Neurospora crassa OR74A: one gene and its partner. The protein of the gene in region 2 interacts with the protein of the main gene of each other region in a pairwise test. Links are inferred from orthologs where the notes say so. Each region holds a gene or a part of one and is shown on either strand. Other genes may lie near its edges.

The links.
Region 1: the proteins of NCU03039 (region 2) and NCU03261 interact in a two-hybrid assay, tested with the Schizosaccharomyces pombe proteins (7 studies listed by BioGRID). The link is inferred for Neurospora crassa OR74A from reciprocal best matches to the Schizosaccharomyces pombe genes prp2 and uaf2.

The regions. Positions count from the first base shown.
Region 1 is NC_026501.1:5,112,591-5,117,044, forward strand, and holds the start of NCU03261 (splicing factor U2AF 23 kDa subunit), read right to left. Parts: upstream 3,048-4,454; 5' UTR 789-3,047; coding exon 162-788; 3' UTR 1-161.
Region 2 is NC_026501.1:8,349,208-8,353,615, reverse strand, and holds NCU03039 (splicing factor u2af large subunit), read right to left. Parts: upstream 3,020-4,408; 5' UTR 2,883-3,019; coding exon 2,855-2,882; intron 2,797-2,854; coding exon 2,762-2,796; intron 2,695-2,761; coding exon 1,501-2,694; intron 1,449-1,500; coding exon 1,190-1,448; intron 1,133-1,189; coding exon 921-1,132; intron 861-920; coding exon 834-860; 3' UTR 164-833; downstream 1-163. Other genes in the region: NCU03040 (N-glycosylase/DNA lyase), read left to right, coding at 3,430-3,548, 3,630-4,408. UniProt on the Schizosaccharomyces pombe protein: Necessary for the splicing of pre-mRNA. The SF1-U2AF59-U2AF23 complex has a role in the recognition of the branch site (5'-UACUAAC-3'), the pyrimidine tract and the 3'-splice site at the 3'-end of introns.

The DNA of each region.
Region 1 (4,454 bases), about 3.2 Mb from region 2:
CTCTTGACATTGACTTCCAGTCACTGAGCCAGGACCGACCTCTGTCTTCTCTTCTCGTTTCTCTGGTTCGTGGAAAAAAAAACTACAACACCCCCATGTCTGTTTCGCATCGCCGTCCGTCCTCCACCGTCAACTCTGTCCAGCATGAAACACCGCAACTCCTAATACCGTCTCCTAGTCGGTTCCGGGCTGGGCGAGCGCGTCGGGCTGCGGCTCCGCGGTCTCATCTTGAGCCACTTCTTGGTGCTGAGCTCGAGCTCCCTCTCCAGCTCCGGGCTGGGGTTCTTGCGGTGTATAAAGTTACAAAACCCTCCACGGACACAACCCTCGCCAGAGTTCAAACGGCAGCAGGCCTCGCGGAAATCCGTCACGGGGCTGAGTTCGCAATAAATCGGCCGAGCAGCGTACCAGCGAGAGTTCAGATCGTCGCACGCTTTTTGGGCTGAGTCCTCGTACTTGAACCGCGCGTACACGTTGCCGATCAGGTGGTCGTTGTTGTTGTCGCACACCACCAGCTCCTCCAGCTCGCCGTACTTGCACATCTCGCACCAGATGTCCTCGTAGAAGGCGTCGAAGTGGTTCTGCAGCTGCGACGCGTTCATCCGGTTCTTGGGGTCGAAGGCGGGGTTGTGGTACAGGTTCGGCATCAGGATCGTTTGCGAGTAGCTGGGTTTGACGTGTTTGCGGGAGCACCGGTCGCCGTGGCGGCAGGCGCCGATCTTGTAATAGAACGAGCAGTTGACTTTGTCTTGCTCAGTGCCGAAGATGGAGGCGAGAAAGTTGGCCATTTTGTTGACTTGTTTTTTTTCTTTCTTATCTCGCTGTGATGGCGAGGCTGCGTATGGGGGATTTGATGGGTTGTGTGATGGGTAGGCTAGGAGAACTCTCAATGCAATAGTCCGTTGTCAGAAGGAGGGAGATGGCGAAAAGTCGAGTCGGTTTGTTAAGTCTGCTCGGTTTGATGAATGTCGAGGGTATTCGTTCGTCGTTCGTGAGCAAGACCGTTGGGTTGCGTTTGCGAAAAAAAAGTTTTCGAAGAATATCGTTGATCGAATCGCAGTTTTCGAGAAATGCTGGATGGTCCCGGTCGCCTGGTTGCTACGACGTTGGTGAATTTGAGAATCGGCGTTGTCGCACATGAAATCAATCTGTCGTGGAAAACTGAACCCAGCCGCGTCGCCTCAGTCGCGTCTAGCTTTCGCCACATGGGTGTGGCTGACTAAAGCTTTTGACCAATAGTGTTGTTGCCTTTGGCTGCGAGGCTGACAAGTAAATGGGGGCTGGTTGTCGAACATACAACACATGGCATCGTCCAGAAGTTGCTACGGGTAATGTGGCCGTAAAAGTCGCATACTGCATATGTCATCCGCGAATTTCACTGTTTACGCTCTACAGTATTCATGGACAACTATATCGCAAAACATTTACTTTGACGTCGTTAGATTGCTGCGCAATCCCGTCATGCAGTAATGCCTAGGTAAAATCACCATGCATACTCGGATGTCATCCAACGTTTCTGCCCAATCAGCGGTTGCCCTCGAGAAACTCATCGGCGCCGGAATCATATAACAGACCCGGCGACCGGCAAGCTCGAGACACGACATCAGCTGTTGAAATCGGCGATACTTCCGCGGGACGGCCGGGCCGGTCGTCAGTCAAGTCACAGCGAACCGAAAGCCAGTAAACCCCGACGAAAATATATGGAGCCCAGCACTCAATCCGTTATCGTCGGGTGCGGGTAGGAGATTGTGGGTATGACACAAGATCCGGACACGAAACATTGTAACAACGACACACCTGTGCATTCGGTCAAGAACATACGTAGGTGTTAAGTCTCAAGTCTCAGTGGGAAATGAATTGCTTTCCCGTTTTTCGACCAGACGAGTAGCTCAATGACAGTCAGTCAAAAGGAGTTGCCATCTCCGGTTATCCTCGAGGCCTGATTGTTGATCCAGGGAGCGCAAATTGTACTGTTGAAATCTGAAAACTAAAGAGACGTGGCTCGGTTGCGGGCAACCACTGGTGAGCGTTTGTCCAACCTCACACGTGGAGTGATTGCGTTTCTGTGCATCACGGCTGAATCTTCTTGCGTGTTTTAACTTGGTAGATAGGTGAACGTGGCCTACCAGAGATGAGGGTGTCGTCCAATCCTCTTTTTTTTTTTGTGACGGTGTCCCGGTTTTGTCGTGTTGTAGTTGTTTGGACTTTGGCTACCGGACAGCCAACACCGATCTTGACGGTCCCAACGATGGCTGAATGGTCTTTGTGTGGCCAGACCCTTGGTTGCAGGCCAGTCTCAAAGTTTTCATATCAAGTCGGGTGATAGGCCCGGAGATAATTTGTCAATTGTCGCGTGAGGTTCGTTGTAGTGGTGGCCTTCGTTGGGTGAGATGATGTCGCTTTATCCTTGTTCACATGTTGGCAACCCAGAAAGGGGAATTCTTCGTCTATCTCGGGCACTTTCGAGACCCCTGCGTTGGGAGATTTGCGACAGGGATCTGTTTATTAGTGAACAGCCGATTTGTCGATGCGGTGGCCTCCTGAGGCGTAAAGGTCGTAGATGGCCGTGGATTATCGCACGCTGGAATTAAGAAATCAGAATCCAAACTGTGATGGAGTGCGGAGCGTGATCTGCTTGAAGAAGCAAATCGAGAGACTGGATAGCCTTGATTGTCGGCGGGTTCATGGTTGTATACTTGAAATTAACTTTGATGTAGATGCGATGACCGAATCAAGTCGGCGTCAGATTCGGGGCGTCAGGATTCGATAGAGGTGAGGTGTAATACCTAGAGATGATACTCTGTGGCCGGTAAGGGGTCTCGGAAACAGACATACGCATCTTGAGGACGATTTTACAGCAGCACACACTTTTGGTGGAAATAGACAAAGAATACTTGTCCGCATTATATCTCTGTCCTCTTCCTTTTGCCCGCCGAACTTTTATCTCTGACCTGTCAGCGCTTCGCTGTTCCCTGTGATCGCTTTGGCGATCCTGTTGACTCGGAGCAAGTCACGGCCTAAAGCATGCACATTTCAGCCGGCAAGTGCAAGCGCAGCGATAAGTGGACTGGGATCTGCGGGGCACGTAGGTAGGTAGGTCCCTTCATTACATACCTCTACTGACTGGAAGCTCTTGCCTGGGTTAGCACCGCTGTTAAGCTCCCATATTTTGGCCATTAATGCCGAGACCTCAATGTTATAACACTTTACCTAGCTGGCACAACTGCCGGTAAAATACCTCGTGGATATTGGTGATTCTAGAGGAGAAATGAGAGTATATAATATGGGCTAATTGCCACTTGGGCTGCCTCTAGGTTCTAGCTAGGTGCACGACAATGAAGCCACGCAAGCGAGACAAGCTGGGAGTCTTGGAGCGCATCTCCAAATTTTGAGTGTTGCACTCTTCCCCCCAGCCCCAACCCGCCGTCCAGGCCGCTTCCAAGGATCACACCTTAAGCTCAGACTTCGGTACCATTGCTTGTGGACCGCCATTCATTCGATGGGAGCGGAGCTCGACCTTCTGACGTACTGTGTCCCTACTAGCGTTCGATCCGTCGTTTCCCAATTGGCTGGGTGGCTGGCTACCACATCTCCATATCGATTCGAAGCAGTGTGAATTGCGAGGCAAAGCGTGAATGGAAGCTCTCCTTAGAAGGTCGTACTGTGGTTGCGAGCGAAAGTAAATGGAACCCCTTCGTCAACTACCGCGCACACACCACCATAGGGTACCTCTAAGTAGCTCGGCAAACGAAGCCCCTTCGTGGTTTTGTATAGGGCACTGCGGTATGGTCAACGATCGTCAGCGACCTGGCCCACGGGTTTTACTTGGCCATCTCACCACACGTAGGTAGCTGGGTAGGTACCTCTACTATGTAGTGTAGACAGAGCGCCCGGGATGTCCACGGGTGTCCCTGGAGGTTCTGGCTGGCAGGCATCTCCAGTTCCAGAACGCCAGGACGCGGCCAATAGGAGTGTTGGGAGGCTGCGTGGAGAGGCCGTGGAGAGCAACAATAGCAGCTTGCACCAGCACGAGCAGCAAGCTGAAAGAGGCTTGGACACCTCCACACTTGAGCTGCGTGGGACCCTTTTTAGCCATTTCCCAGCTGGGGGTTGCGCGGCTTCCATCCTCAAAAGCATTCAGTCTCGTCACTCCGTCCGCTAGTGTTTTTTTTTGTTGTTGTTGTTTTTATTCCCTCTCTTCATCTCCGGTCTCTCGTCTCCGTTCTGTTTTTCCCCCAAACATCCAGTTACTCACGGAAGCACAGGTCCAACTTCTGTGTACCTTTGCTGTAACACCTTCCAAGGAGACCGGTTCGGTTTCCTTGTTTCCTCCCCCCCACCCTCTCTTCTAACCTACACCTTTCTGCGATTTCTCCCGCTCTCTACACCCTATTATAGGTTCCATTATTTGAATATTACTTTGGCTGCCCTGCCACTGCACCTGCAGCCACTCG
Region 2 (4,408 bases):
AGCAAAATTTTTCGTGAGGCTTGCACTTAGAATCTTCCTCCGATCATCGCCAGGTCGGCCGTTTGCCCGTTTGGACCAAGTTGCTCGACAGCATTCGGCCATGATCTCCAGAGACATGCCTGATCGCAGTCCTGTCAAACTTCGGGAATTAGCATCATAACGGTCGACCTGGTATCCTATTCACTTTGGTAAGCTTCTCACTGCTCCCTCTACCTTTTTTCCGAGCCTCCTTATCCTGATGATACACACTTTATACTTTATTCTGGTACCTCTTATGTTAAAGTTCCTTTTTGGGACTTGATGAATTAAACGGACTTCTGAAACTTTAGCTTTCGCACTCGTCTTGTTATTGCATAATTCGAGTCGTGCTCAGGCTAACGTTCCTTCAGACCTAGGTACCAATTTTTAAGCTCGAGACTGTGCGGTCGCCATGGCATGCAAACTGAGTTCATTGTCGCGGGCGTTGGTTGGCGACCCCGGACATTTAGACTAAGATAATGATAAACAAGTGATCCCAATGCAACTTCCCTTGTGCCGATCGATGATGTATTTGTAAACCTTCGGCATGTAATCAAAATACACTTCTGAGTGTATTGATGTTGTATCCTCTGTTTTTGAGCGCCCTGACTGTACCGCGGCTGAAATCCCATTAACTTCTGTACACGCCGCTGAGATCCCAACGATAACTTCGAGGAAATGACCGAACCTTGATACTAATGACGTTCTGATTGTTTCCTCGTTGTCAATCAACAGATCACGCTATACCATGCACGACTACTGTTCTTCCTTTCAGTACAGTCAAACATATCCCTTCTCCTACTGCCTATCGTCTTTTACCAGGCGTTGACATCAAAGTTCTCCTGTAGGATTTATCAGTATAAACGAGCGAAGCAAATCAGAGCAAAGCTGATGAAACTAACCTCAGGGAAGTATGTCGCAACCACCGTGCGGTCAGCAAACTTCCTGCCCGCCAAAGCTTTGAGGGCCTTTGTTGCTTGGTCGGAATTCTCGTATTTGATGAAAATCTTGCCAACACCAGCAGACTGCCTGCTTCCGCCAGTGGGTCTGGGAATCTTTAGGGAAACAATAGTTCCGAACTTCTCGCATTCTTCCTGGACGTCGTCGCGAATTTCTTGAAAGCACACGTTAGCATCTTGAACATGTGTAGTGACAGAAACGCTGAACAAACCTTCGTAATCGTCGTTGTCCATCAGCTCATCCGCTGTAACCATGTTCAGGAGCTGCACGACCCTGCTGACGTCGCCATCCAAGGAAGTGGTACCAGCAAGCATGGACATGGCGTTCACACTCAGTTCTCCAGCTACCTGTTGAATGCCATAGCTGGCCTTTTGAACCTTCAGCGCCCTATCGCCCAGCATCATGTTGTTGAGGCCGTCAATAGCAACAGATGTGACCGAAGAATCGTGATACTCGCAGAATGCGATACCCTAGGACATGTTAGCATGTGCGCTCGTTGGTAGAAAGGACCATTAGGCTCACCCTTGACTCCTCCGTATGCTTATCCTTAACCAACACAAAGGACTTGAGCTTGCCAAAGGCAACCAGGAGCTCCATGATTTGCTCTTCGCTCAAATATGCAGGGATGTTGGTGACGCTGATCTTGTTAGGGCTGTCGATGACAATGCTGGAAGGCACCTCTGAATCAGGGTCGTAGTTGGGGTCCTCGACAATTGCGGGTACGATGTAGTCCTTCGGCCTACGGATCTTGAGCCCACCGGCACCAGCAGCACCATTGGCATCCTCGGCCTCCATGGTGATACCGTCAAGGGCCAGAGCGACTGTAGCATCCGGGCTGTTCCTAAACTCAAGCATGGCGAAGCTGTGATCGGGAGATATTTGGCACTGGACGCAAGGATCGGCGCTGTCGATTACATTTAGGCCATTGAGCTGAAGGTTGAAAAAGCCCAACAGGCTCTCGTCGGTGGCTGACGGTGGGATATTCGAGACAATAAGTCGTTTGCTCTGGCGGGAGTTCGTAGGCTTAAGGGCAGCACTGTTGACAGCTCCACCTGGCTGGGTCATGAAAGCCTGAAGCTTGGTCGGGTCCATGGCCTGTTGTCGCGGGGCGCCAGGTAATGGGAACATACCCGAGAGCTTGGCCTGCTCCGCGGTGACGTTGCCATATCCGGGAGGCTTGATATCCCACTGTGTCATGCGCCTCTTGCGCTCTATAACAGGAACGACATCGGTCAAGTCGGGTGTCGGTTCCCTCTTTTTGGGGGGCGGCGAGACACTCCTCCTGCGCTCCCTGTCCGCCTCTCGGTCCCTTCTGCCTCCACCGCGGCGATCATCTCCCATCACGTCACGATCTCTGTCCCGGCGACGGCCGCCTTCGTCATCGTCCCTCCGGCTGCGACCTCCACGCTCGGCCCCGCGGTCAGCGCCACGATCCGCACCACGGTCGGCTCCACGGTCGGCTCCACGGTCGGCGCCCCTGTCACGATCCCACTCCCTATCACCACGATCGGGTCCACGACGGTCGCGGCCAGAGTATCGATCTTCTCGCTCGCGGTCGCGGTGGCTGCGGCTCGATGAATAAGCGTCAAAATCGCCGTCTTCGCGACGGGGTCGGCTGCTCCGGTAGTCGGCGGGAGAGCGAGAGCGTCTGCGTCCACTGCCTCGGTCACTGCGATCTCCACGGTCACGTCTGTCATCGCGGTCGCGTCTCGAGGACTGATAATAGGTTAGCTTAGGCCCACAGAAAAGACCGCTGTTAGGTTTGTATACGAGGCACACTTACCGGATAGTCGCGAGACGAACCGTGTCGGCCGCTGTCTGTTTCGCCACGGTTAAGTTGAGTTCTAGCGGATAGCCACGGTCAGTGCCAACATACCTCTGGAGGAATAGGTGTCCCCGTTCATGGTCAACACAAATCTCGTTAAGTATAAAAGAGGTGATACGAGATGGTTGCACCAAAGAAGCAGGAAAATGTTCTGAGGGTGTTTGATGAAAAGGAAAGTGGCTTTGCTTGACCTAGCTTCCAATTGCGAGTCTCGTCGATCGCGAGGCTGCAACTTTTCCAGTAGCCGTTGTTACTGCAGAGGGCGCTTGATCCTCTTTCGGCTTAGCGCGCTATGTTTCCGTGCGATTCGGTTCCACTGACCCATCCACACCGGGAAGTTTGACGCCCTGCAATGGCGTGGCAACAACTGAAGAGGAATTGCCCCTGTAGAGGTACCTTAGTTCCAGCAGATAGGTAACCACCACCGCAGGGCATTTGCAGCCCCAGTGCATTGCCCCCCATCAAATCCGGGTTGGGATTTTGGGTCCATGAGAAACAAAAGTGATAATCAATCTACCTGCATAATAAGGGATGGAGACAAAGAATTTCACATCAAGCCTCTATAGAAGACCCTTATATCCTTTTTGTCTTATCTGCAAAGTCTAAGAGTTTTTAATAAATACGATATGGCATCCCAGAAAGTGACAGAATGGCGCAAACTGCCTATCAGTCTCACAGAGCTCTGCATCGAAACCACACTCCGATGCGGCCAGTCCTTTAGATGGCGCAAGATAAATGAACAATGGTCCGAATGCACACCACTATCTTACTTTTTTTCTTTTTATTTCTTCTCTGTTCAAAGTATCAAGTCCTAACAGTTTTCCAGGCACTGCGTCCTCAAAGGCCGTCTCATCTCCCTAAAACAAGATCCCACCCATCTTCACTACAAAGTGACATGGCCTACCAGTACAGCAACTCCCAAAAATGAACACCCCCAGGACTTCGAAGACGACACGTCCGTCCTCCTCCACAACTACTTTGCCCTCTCTCACTCTCTCACTACCCTTTACGCCCAATGGTCTCTTTCAGATGCCAACTTCGCCCGGCGTGCGCCCGCTTTCACGGGGATCCGCATCCTTAACCAGGACGCATGGGAGACGCTGATCTCCTTCATCTGCAGCAGCAACAACAACATTTCGCGCATCAGCCAGATGGTGCTGAAGCTGTGTACGCACTACGGTCCTTATGTGGCCACCGTGGAGGGAGAAGCGTTTCATGATTTCCCCGGGCCGGAGGCGTTGGCGGGGGAAGGGGTCGAGGCCCATCTGAGGGAGCTGGGCTTTGGTTATAGGGCCAAGTACATTGCTGAGACGGCGGGGTGTGTGGCGCAGGTTTATGGGGAGAGGTGGTTGCTGAGGTTGAGGAATCCGGGTGTTCCTGCGTTGAGAGCGGCTGAGGAGGATATTTTAGTGAAGAAGGAAGAAGGGGCAGAAGAGAAGGAGTCTGTTGAATCCAAGGCTGACTTGGACAACCCACCGACCTACCAGAAGGCTCATGAAGCTCTGTTGACTCTGCCGGGTGTTGGCCCCAAGGTGTCGGATTGTGTGTGTCTAATGGGTCTCGGGTGGGGCGAGTCTGTTCCCATCGACACGCACGTTTGGCAGA